3 linked regions of the Saccharomyces cerevisiae S288C genome follow. Changing the gene in region 2 together with the main gene of any one other region gives a genetic interaction. Each region holds a gene or a part of one and is shown on either strand. Other genes may lie near its edges. The genes, in order: CYK3, BNI1 and AIP5.

Region 1 (3,758 bases), on a different chromosome or scaffold from region 2:
ACGTACTACTAAGCTTCAACGTCACTCTATAAAGAAACTAAAAAGACACGTATTTATACCTTTTTTGAAGAATGCGAGATTGCAATGAAATATGTGTCTATTTTTTACATGAATCTTTTGACCAACTCCTCATATATACCCCACGCAATACCTGCACTGAAGGCCTTTCTTGCCAGCCTCATGCTTAACCCGCTAAATAACTTCAGCACATTTTCATTTTTAACTATAGATGTAAATGTATTGAAGGAGTTGGTAAATTTTGATGGTTCCAATTGCATTCTCGTTTTTATGGTGTCGAACGGTGCCGTTACTGTGGTGGCTAAACTGGCGGATAGTACGGCGCTTGTTGTATTTACTGTTGTAGAGGTATAAGTAGTAAATCCTCCCTCAGGATTGTAATGTATAAACCTAGAAGGTAATACCATGGGCAGTAATTGTTTCGATTTTTCATATAGCAGCACATACAAACCTGCATAGGGAGCGTCTCTTAAACAAGTAGCTCCAAACCCTCTGAAAAATCCAAAAAGTCCTTCCTTAGTATATATATGGGTAATTGCCTCCTTTAAACTGGAGTAATTGTACAGAGTAGACTCATAACGGACTTTAATGACGGTGATAGGCATGGTTATATAACCTACCAAACCTCTTGCAAATGCACCTGTTAGTAAATTTTCATACATCGTTAATCGTGGTAAGCTACTGCTCTTGTTATATACAATGTTTGAATCGTTTGTTAATGAAGGCACAGCATTCCTCCTCTTTGCCAAAGATGAGCGCATAAGGTTCAAACATGATAAATATAAGGCGCTGCCTATTGATGTTCGTAATGCTGAAGGTAATGTACCTCTCCATAGCTGTAGAGGGCTGTCTATCTCTTTCAAATTTTTCCATAATGTAGCTTTCTTGTCTTGCTGGATTCTCGTCTTCAAAAGGTCTAAAGGTTGCAACGCAACAGCAGATGTTAGCCCACCGAAAAAGCCCCCGATCAAATGCGATGAATTTCTTGGCTTAGTTGCTTGCTCAGTCATGTATGCTGCTTCACAAATTGTGTACCTTCTAGTTGTTCCCGCTGTGCTATTTGCTTTTCTTTTGGTATAAGCTTATCCTTTTACTTCAATCACCCCCTCGTGAGAATTTAATGTGGAAGCAATATACTACTACACCGTTGACTTGGAGATTTTCAAGCTCAATTTTGCGTTCACTCAAATCTAAGTCATTTGAAACAAACACAACTTCTAAATATAGCAAGAGAAATAGGTCAATAACGCAGACACATATTTAACATTTAAGATACTGATAGATATTCAAAAGGAAACAGTCACCACAAGCGTTGGAGATTCAGCAAAACCCAAAAAGCAAGAAATTACAAAATCATTGTCTCGCTGATGAAACACCATCCTTTAGTGTTTGTATCCATTCAGCGTACCCTCTTGTTCTTGAGACTGGTGAATTTCGTAACTAGTTGAATATTGCAGGGTTTTCTTTTTCTAAATATGTATTAATGGTGGTGCCTGTCAGGGCGCGATAGAAGTGAAAAATTCTCGAATGGCTGGTTTGGTGGCCATTGAGCTGATCTGAAAAGGATGGTGAGATCAAGCTTGATATCTTGCATGCTTGGACCAACTATTTAAAATAAGTATTGAAAAAGGAGAATTTAGTTTCATTTACTCTCTACAATTGGATATTATACAGTTAAAACAAGAGAAAAGGCCAAAATTAACGGGACTCTGTTTGCATAACATATCTATAATATCAGTTTGATCTACTGCTGTTAAACTAATTTTTCTTTCTTCTGATTTCACTTCGTCCTTAATATTTTAACACATTAACTGTTTGCTATAAGCATACATTGCTTTTACCACTTTTTTTAATAATATCTTTTTATCCGTATTAATTACCGCATATAATTTTAGTTCGAAACATTAAAGGTCAGTCCCGAAGTTATAATTATAACATTTAATTCCTGAATTTACCGTATTACATTTAAATTTGCATAATGGCCACTAACTTAACATCTTTGAAGCCACCATTTAAGGTGAAGGCCAGGTATGGTTGGTCGGGCCAAACTAAAGGCGACTTAGGCTTTCTGGAGGGAGATATTATGGAAGTCACAAGGATTGCCGGTTCTTGGTTCTACGGCAAGTTATTGAGAAACAAAAAATGTTCTGGGTATTTTCCTCATAACTTCGTCATACTATTAGAGGAGAGATTAAATTCGAGCACTGAAAATGGTAGGCAACCTTCAAAAATAGTAGAAAGTTTTGAAAAATCAAATAAAGTTGTTATTCCACCAGTACCATCAAGGTATTCTGACGAGAGGCCAAGGCCTAAAAAGAAGCTATCTTCATCAATGCCCAATTCACCCAAGAAGCCGGTAGATTCTTTGACAAAGGCTAGAAAGGCAAAATCAAAAGAAATGGTAAATGAAAAAAATATCTATAATACCCAATCCTCTCGACATCATAATAACTCAGCTCCAAATTTACCTTTGGCTAGCCATAGTAAGCCTCAAGTACGAAATTTCGAGGAGTCCATGAACAATCCGTTACCACCTCTACCGCCACTACCAGATTTGGACAATATGAGAAAGACAGATAAAAGGGCACCAAAGAAATCATATTCTGCAAACGATTTACATATGGCACGTTCTTCAAGAGAATATAACTATTACAAAGACAACCAGAAATTCTATGATGGGTTTATCCCAGAAAAGAGATATTCTTTAGAAGAGGACTCTATTTCATCAGGCCTGTTTTCAAACTCTCAGTACTTAAATGATTCTGCTTGTAGTAGTGAGAACAGTTTTGCCTTAATGAGTGATTTTAGTGCCACGAGCGCGGGAAGTTTCGCCAGACATAAATATGCACAATCGTTTTCCGATTCATTGCAAAGATCACAGAATGCAAATGGCTGCTCTACAAAGATAAATGATTCACAGGAGTTTGGTGATTCCAATGCTAGTTCGAGAAATGGAAAAATGGGTGATATCCTTAGGAAAATAATTATTCCAAAGAGGAATACAAATATTTACTCCAGTTCAGTATCCTCACCAAAGTCACCAAAAGCATATCCTAAACTACCAGATATTCAGAATTTAAACTTGTCTGCAACACCCGATGAAGCTCGCGATTGGATTGCGGTAAAATGTCACTTGAACAGAGCAAGGACTCTTACCAAATATGACAAACATCCGAGGTATATGAGAGCTCTCGAAGAAAATCGCGACTTGATCTTACATCCTCAAGATTCGATTTATAACGGGCTAAATACCAATGAAGTCAAAGGTAATACAAAGCCCGGTTTGGTCGATGTGGAACTGGCCGAATTAAACATAGAATACATTGATAAGATGACTTGGAAACGGTGTATTAGAGACGGAACTATGACATTAGACAGTTGGGCTCAAACAACTTTTTCAGCAAGATACTCAACTGTTCTGGAAAAGTTAAGAGGCATATACATTTTTTGCACAGAGATGTTTGCTCTGACTGATGATAATGGAACGTCAGATTTTTCTGCGGAACCCCAAAATTTAGAGAAAATACTATACAGAAAGCATTGTACGCCATATGAATTGACATGGCTTTTCAAGAAATTAGCAAACTCATTGGGAATCACTTGTGAAATTGTTATAGGTTTCCTGAAAACACCGAGTGCTATAAATTGGGAGTTTAAGTATAACCACTGCTGGTTGAGAATACTGGTTAACAAAGAATGGAGATTTATTGACGTTATTTTAGGAAATGTAACCAACCCAA
Region 2 (3,758 bases):
GAGCCTGGGGGCCTGGCATTATCTCCAGTGATAAAAATGAGGGCCGTTTTCTCGGATGGGTTTCCTCTTTGATTAATGCTGCATTTACGTACCAAGGTACTGAACTGGTTGGGATAACCGCTGGTGAAGCGGCTAACCCAAGAAAAGCTCTCCCGAGGGCAATAAAGAAAGTTGTAGTGAGGATTCTAGTCTTTTACATTCTTTCACTATTTTTCATTGGCCTTTTGGTCCCATATAATGACCCAAAGTTGGATAGTGACGGTATATTTGTCTCTTCATCGCCCTTTATGATAAGCATTGAGAATTCAGGCACAAAAGTTCTCCCAGATATATTTAACGCGGTCGTGCTAATCACCATTCTTTCCGCAGGTAACTCTAATGTGTACATTGGCTCAAGAGTACTGTATAGTCTGTCTAAAAATAGCTTGGCGCCAAGGTTCTTGTCTAACGTGACCAGAGGTGGTGTTCCATACTTTTCTGTTCTATCTACATCCGTGTTCGGATTTTTGGCTTTCTTAGAGGTTTCTGCAGGCAGCGGCAAGGCCTTTAACTGGTTATTGAACATAACTGGTGTGGCCGGTTTCTTTGCCTGGCTTTTGATTTCATTTTCTCATATCCGTTTCATGCAAGCCATAAGGAAACGTGGTATATCGAGGGATGACTTACCTTATAAAGCTCAAATGATGCCTTTTTTGGCATATTATGCATCTTTTTTCATCGCTCTAATTGTTCTGATCCAGGGCTTCACCGCTTTCGCACCTACTTTTCAGCCTATAGACTTTGTCGCTGCATATATATCAATATTCCTATTTTTGGCCATATGGTTATCATTCCAAGTTTGGTTTAAGTGCCGCTTACTCTGGAAGCTGCAGGATATCGATATCGATTCTGACCGCCGGCAAATAGAGGAGTTGGTATGGATAGAGCCAGAATGTAAAACAAGGTGGCAACGAGTTTGGGATGTCCTTTCATAATTTTAGAATAATACTCCATACCACACACACACATATATATGTATGTATGTATGTATGTATGTATATGTATATTTGCCAAATCCTTGCTCAACTCTTTTCCTGTGATTATATGATTACTCCCTAGTTGTTTCGTTGTTAGCCGCCGAAAGTCATCGCCCGTAATTTCCATGGCTTACCCGACATCGGTTAGAGGAAGTTTTTGACGTGGAAGAGGGAAAGAAAGAAAAAACAGATGTGGAAAACTAGAATCCCTTTTAAGAACAATAGCACGGACCCTTCCTACAGATAAGAGGACACTGACGGCTGTGTGTTAATTATTTTCGTATTAAGCATAAAATTGGACAGTGGCATTCTTTTCTTCACCCTTCACGTTTTTTATACGTCTCATACAGTTGGGCCATTTTTTACTTTTTTTTTTGCCATTTGTATCTATCTTCTGTATTGAGGAGAAACATTTTAACTCAAGCCTAGTTAAATTCTAAATACACGCCACATAAAGAAGGCACCTGAACCTTTTCAACAAACGAGAAGCAAGAAAGGAAGAGAAGGAAAGGAAATGTTGAAGAATTCAGGCTCCAAACATTCGAACTCAAAGGAAAGTCATTCGAATTCGAGTTCTGGTATATTCCAAAATTTGAAGCGTTTGGCTAACTCAAATGCAACGAATAGCAATACGGGTTCTCCGACCTATGCATCCCAACAACAGCACTCTCCAGTGGGAAACGAAGTGTCCACTTCACCTGCATCTTCGTCATCTTTTAGAAAACTGAATGCACCTTCTAGGTCTACATCTACTGAGGCGAGGCCGTTGAATAAAAAATCGACATTAAACACACAAAACTTGTCTCAATATATGAATGGTAAATTAAGTGGAGATGTTCCCGTATCCTCACAGCACGCAAGGTCGCATTCAATGCAATCGAAATATTCGTATTCCAAGAGGAATTCTTCACAGGCGTCCAATAAGCTAACAAGGCAGCATACCGGGCAAAGTCACTCCGCATCAAGTCTTCTCTCTCAAGGTTCGCTAACTAACTTGAGCAAATTCACTACACCCGATGGTAAAATTTATTTAGAAATGCCGTCGGACCCATACGAGGTGGAAGTTTTGTTTGAAGATATTATGTATAAAAGAAATATTTTTCAGTCTTTATCAGAGGACAAACAAGAAGCTCTGATGGGCTACAGCATTGAGAAGAAATGGCTGATTGTTAAGCAGGATTTACAAAATGAGCTAAAAAAAATGCGAGCAAACACTACATCTTCTTCCACTGCCTCCAGAACTTCGATGGCGTCGGACCATCATCCTATCCTTACGGCTAATTCATCTCTTTCGTCTCCCAAATCTGTTTTGATGACAAGCGCCTCTTCTCCCACCTCAACTGTATACAGCAACAGTTTAAATCATTCTACTACTCTTTCATCGGTAGGTACGTCAACCTCGAAGGGGAAAAAATTAGTGAGCGGGAGTTTGAAAAAGCAGCCATCTCTAAACAATATTTATAGAGGTGGGGCTGAGAACAATACGAGTGCATCTACTCTTCCAGGAGACAGAACAAACAGACCACCGATACATTATGTGCAACGAATCCTGGCAGACAAACTTACTAGCGATGAGATGAAAGATTTATGGGTAACTTTAAGAACTGAACAGTTAGACTGGGTAGACGCTTTTATAGACCATCAGGGTCACATTGCTATGGCTAATGTACTAATGAACTCTATTTATAAGACTGCACCCCGAGAAAACTTGACTAAAGAATTATTAGAGAAAGAAAATTCATTTTTTAAATGCTTCAGAGTCTTATCAATGCTCTCACAAGGTTTGTATGAGTTCAGTACACATAGGTTAATGACTGATACTGTTGCAGAAGGTTTATTCTCTACGAAACTGGCCACAAGGAAAATGGCCACTGAAATTTTTGTTTGTATGCTAGAAAAAAAAAATAAAAGCAGATTCGAAGCAGTTCTTACCTCACTAGATAAAAAGTTTAGGATAGGGCAAAATCTTCATATGATTCAAAACTTCAAAAAAATGCCCCAGTATTTCTCTCATTTAACCTTGGAAAGTCATTTGAAAATTATTCAAGCCTGGTTATTTGCCGTTGAACAAACTTTAGATGGAAGAGGAAAAATGGGTTCCTTAGTAGGCGCGTCGGATGAATTTAAAAATGGTGGGGGTGAAAATGCGATTCTAGAATACTGCCAATGGACAATGGTTTTTATCAATCATTTATGCTCTTGCTCTGATAACATAAATCAAAGAATGCTATTAAGGACGAAACTAGAAAATTGTGGAATTTTACGAATTATGAACAAAATAAAACTGCTAGATTACGACAAGGTAATTGACCAAATTGAGTTATATGACAATAATAAACTTGACGATTTTAACGTTAAATTAGAGGCCAACAATAAGGCTTTTAATGTAGATTTACACGATCCACTATCATTATTAAAAAACCTTTGGGATATATGTAAAGGTACCGAGAATGAAAAGCTTTTAGTATCTTTAGTTCAACATCTTTTCCTTTCTAGTTCAAAGTTAATAGAAGAAAACCAAAATTCCTCTAAACTTACTAAGCAATTGAAACTTATGGATTCTTTGGTGACTAATGTTAGTGTTGCCTCAACTTCTGATGAAGAAACTAATATGAATATGGCTATCCAGCGGCTTTACGATGCCATGCAGACTGATGAAGTTGCACGTCGAGCTATATTAGAAAGTAGAGCTCTAACGAAGAAATTGGAAGAAATTCAGGCAGAAAGGGATTCTTTAAGTGA
Region 3 (3,758 bases), on a different chromosome or scaffold from region 2:
ATTTCAATAATGGAAGATTTTTCTCCCGCTTCTGACTGCTTTTCATCTCCCCCCATAATTTCCTCTCCTTTTGATGTAGATTCTTCTTCGGTACCGGACACTTCATTATTTCTTACAGCTTCTTGCTCCCCGGTTACATTTTCTTTTTTAACTTTTGAAAAAGTCGAATTTTCTTCTTCTTCTTCTTCTTCTTCTTCTTCTTTTTCAACTTCTACAGATATATCGTTAGTACCGTGTTGTAGATTTTTTTCATTGTCACTAATGCGCTTTGTTGGTCCCATCGTTTCGTCATCATAAGTCTCTCGCTCAGTTTCTGGAGGGATGATACTATCACTACCAGCTGCGTTAAAATTATGGCTCATGTTATTCTCATGATTAACAGATAATTCTTTCCTACATTTTTCGTCTTCTTTATCCTTCTGTTCAAAAACATGGTCTTCTTTCCCGATTTCTGTTTCTTTCTGATTTTTTGCAAGAACTGAAGGACTTATTCCGTCTCTATCACTTTCAGTCTGCTGCTTTTCCCCAGCTTTCAAATGTTTTGATTCGTTCTCTTTGAAATTAAACCCATTCTTAGTTAAACTTTCACTTTCAACATCCTTAGTAGACGCTTGCCCATTTTCATCACCTGCCTCCAAACCGTGCGGCTCTAGTTGGTGTTTAAAAGAAGCTGCATTTCCCTCATTAACATTTAAGATCTCATTCTCTTCTCGAGGTAAGGTATGTTCTGCCTTTTCCTCGTTGATATTGTTCTCGGACTTTGAGGAAGTTTCGTCAACATTATCTTTGTTAGGCACATCTATGTCGAAGGTTTTGTCACTAGATTCATTTCTGGTTCTGATATCCATTTTTTCGACATTAACAGGCTCATCTTGGACAATATTTACTTTGATATCCTCGTTCTTTGAACCATCTTCCTGTAGGTACTCTTCAATGCCTACTAGTATGGAATCTAAAGTTGACTGTTTTGACAAATCAGTAGTATCTGCAGGATTTGAAGAATTACGACCTCTTCTATTCGTGGTTTTTTTCTTTTTGTTTTTTTTTCTTCTCGTAATTGGGCTATTGCCAACCTCAATTCCTGTGGATTCTTTGATTGGTGGTACATTTTCTGTGCCTTCCGCTACATTGTTAGTAGAAGTTTCTTTGATAACTACATTGACGTCTATTGGGATCTGTGTGGGAGATTCTGTAGCGTCATTTATTGTATCTGTGGCTATCTCTATTACGTCGTCTTTTCTTTCCAAATCATGAGAGATTGCATCCCGTGTGGAAGCTTCCTCGGTTTCACCAACAGAACTGGAAAGTTTTACAATAGTATCTCTGTCACGATTCGCCTTTATTTGTCCCTGGTTTTTCTTTTTATGACCTTTCAATTTAGAAGATTTCCTTTGAGATGATAATTCCTGTGCAAAATTCTCAGTGGCATTTATCGCTTCATCTAAGTCACTTTCTGTAAGTTGATCTCGACTTTCTATAATATCATTCGTACTTGGTAAGGGAAGATCTGTAGCAAGTGTCGAATACGAATCTCCAGCACTAGTTACCGATGGGGGTTGAACATTGTGTTCCTGATTTTCTACAGTCAAAGATTCTACCATGTCACTCTTTATTTAATCCAGAGTAATCAAGCACACCAGTACAATAATTGCTAACAGGTTTAAAAAGAGAAAGTGTTCTGGAATAAAACCACTTGCTTATATGCGAAGTGACTACGAAATATTAAGGGAAAATATACGACAATTTCGTGTTCAGAAACTTAACAAATATTTTCATCTTGTCTGTTATATTCTCGGAAGCTTTAGGATAAATTTATCCTTAAAAAAAGGACTGCGCAAGCCCGGAATCGAACCGGGGGCCCAACGATGGCAACGTTGGATTTTACCACTAAACCACTTGCGCTTATTTCTTGGAAGTGTTCGTGTTCTAATAAGGTCACAACAGCTCCAACATTAACCAGAAATACCTGTAAATAGCCCCGCCACGAGGCAACAATTGTCTCTGTATTCTTATCTTTCTCAATAAGCACTTATTAGTTAGTTTACATCCGAGTTCTTGAGCACTCCCCACCTTTTTAGTAGGTCTGAAGTCTTGTTTACAACAGCGGGCACCTCAAGATTGAAAGGAGTTGAGAGTTAGAATATATAATTTTGAAATTAAATTTGAAAATGATGCGATTACCACCGGCAAGTATTCAAAACAAAATAAGACGAGGGAGCTTCATAAAAATTAGGTCGTATATGTTGAAATGAGAGGATTTAGTACATTCTGTATTCATCATATTATAGCCTTTACCAACAATGAAACTCCAGTAATTATCAAATTATTCTCCCAATTCTCACCGAACATGCGGCAACGTTAGGTACGGATCGCGGAAAACACTTTATTTTGTGCAGAGGTACTGTCATGAATACTATGTCAATAAAAAAAGTATCGCATTATCACCACGCCTATATAACATAATCTAAACTATTCGTGAGGGTACAGAAATCCATTGAAATGAATTGATAGTTCTACACGATATCGCTGTCATTTTATTGTACGTTTCAAGTTTTACTAAATAAAAATGACATCTGAAACAGATTAAGTTTTTTTGTAACTTGTGCCCGTTGAAATAGGAATTAACTGTTATAATTGACAATATTCATGTCAACACTATATAGTAATATATAATAAAGAAGGTAACTTAAATGGCGATAGGCGGTCAACAAGTCTAGGGAATCAGAAATGCAAGAATGAATAACGTAATAGGATAGCGAAGGAACATATCAAAAACAAGGGAAAAAAAAATTGGTTCTATATCTAGATATATCTAGAATTTTTGGACTGGTTTTATCTCAATTTCCACCTATCTTTATGTATTATCTTTCGACCGTCTTATCTTTTAATATGGTGGCAGGAATACCAGTCAGACAATGATTGGATCTTGTCTCGGGTTGTTTGTTATCACGTAAGCACCACAGTCCGCTCCGTAGGAAAAGAAAAATAGCCGCCGAGCCACGGGAGCAAATGAGTGAAGAATATGCGCAACGTTTTGGTACATATACAAAAAAATGTAGAAAAGAAGCTAAAGAGATTGACGTTACGTACATATGTATGAGTGGGTAGGTGTGGACGACACTAGGGAGGCTTTACTTCTCTCCAAACATGTGAAGCTGGTTATAGATGTCCTTCTTAAAGTCCTCGTACTTAAAAGACGACTTTCTACGCGTGCCCAACTGTGGAGGAGAGCCGTGTGGGACTCTTGCGCTGTTACCATTGCTGTTGTTGTCAAGGTACGAGTTTTTGAAAATGGGTCTGTTGCCAGCACGAGAACAGATCGGTGTATGGGAGATGGAGTCACCCATATCCACGCCAGCGTGGCTCAGGTCAGAGTCGTTAGTGGTCCTGTATTGCATATTGTGGATAGTATTCTGGAAATCCATGGGTCCGCTACTCCTACGTTCGGCTCCCGGGGCGTGCTCCCCGATACTGCTTTCGCGTTCCCGGGCTTGTTCCCTGGAATTTAGTGCGTCCATATAATTGGTAGACCGCCGTCTAATCATGGGGACTGGCTTGTCTACGCTTTGAGCGGGAGCGCTTGGACCCGGGAGGTTGAATGTAGAAACACTAGGTGTTTCCTGTGCACAGGGCGGTTCGTCGATGTTGAGGAAGTCCTGTGATCTTTCAAATGTGGGTGACGTGCTCACTTGGGGCGTGTTCAAGTGGGGATCTGTCATGAGGGTGAGTGTATGCGTGTGTGTGTGTGTTGCGTAGAT

What was found.
Region 1: mutations in BNI1 (region 2) and CYK3 are lethal when combined (synthetic lethality), as found in Saccharomyces cerevisiae (6 studies listed by BioGRID, with this or other methods).
Region 3: mutations in BNI1 (region 2) and AIP5 together harm fitness more than expected from each alone (negative genetic interaction), as found in Saccharomyces cerevisiae (5 studies listed by BioGRID, with this or other methods).

Annotation. Positions count from the first base shown.
Region 1 is NC_001136.10:246,585-250,342, forward strand, and holds the start of CYK3 (Cyk3p), read left to right. Parts: upstream 1-1,996; coding exon 1,997-3,758. Other genes in the region: HEM25 (Hem25p), read right to left, coding at 105-1,028. UniProt on the Saccharomyces cerevisiae protein: Involved in cytokinesis by recruiting INN1 to the bud neck. Cooperates with INN1 to stimulate the synthesis of the primary septum (PS) by CHS2.
Region 2 is NC_001146.8:133,156-136,913, reverse strand, and holds the start of BNI1 (formin BNI1), read left to right. Parts: upstream 1-1,530; coding exon 1,531-3,758. Other genes in the region: arginine permease ALP1, read left to right, coding at 1-974. UniProt on the Saccharomyces cerevisiae protein: Required for the assembly of F-actin structures, such as actin cables and stress fibers. Nucleates actin filaments. Binds to the barbed end of the actin filament and acts as a leaky capper, slowing both polymerization and depolymerization.
Region 3 is NC_001138.5:179,143-182,900, forward strand, and holds the start of AIP5 (Aip5p), read right to left. Parts: upstream 1,602-3,758; coding exon 1-1,601. Other genes in the region: IGD1 (Igd1p), read right to left, coding at 3,132-3,719.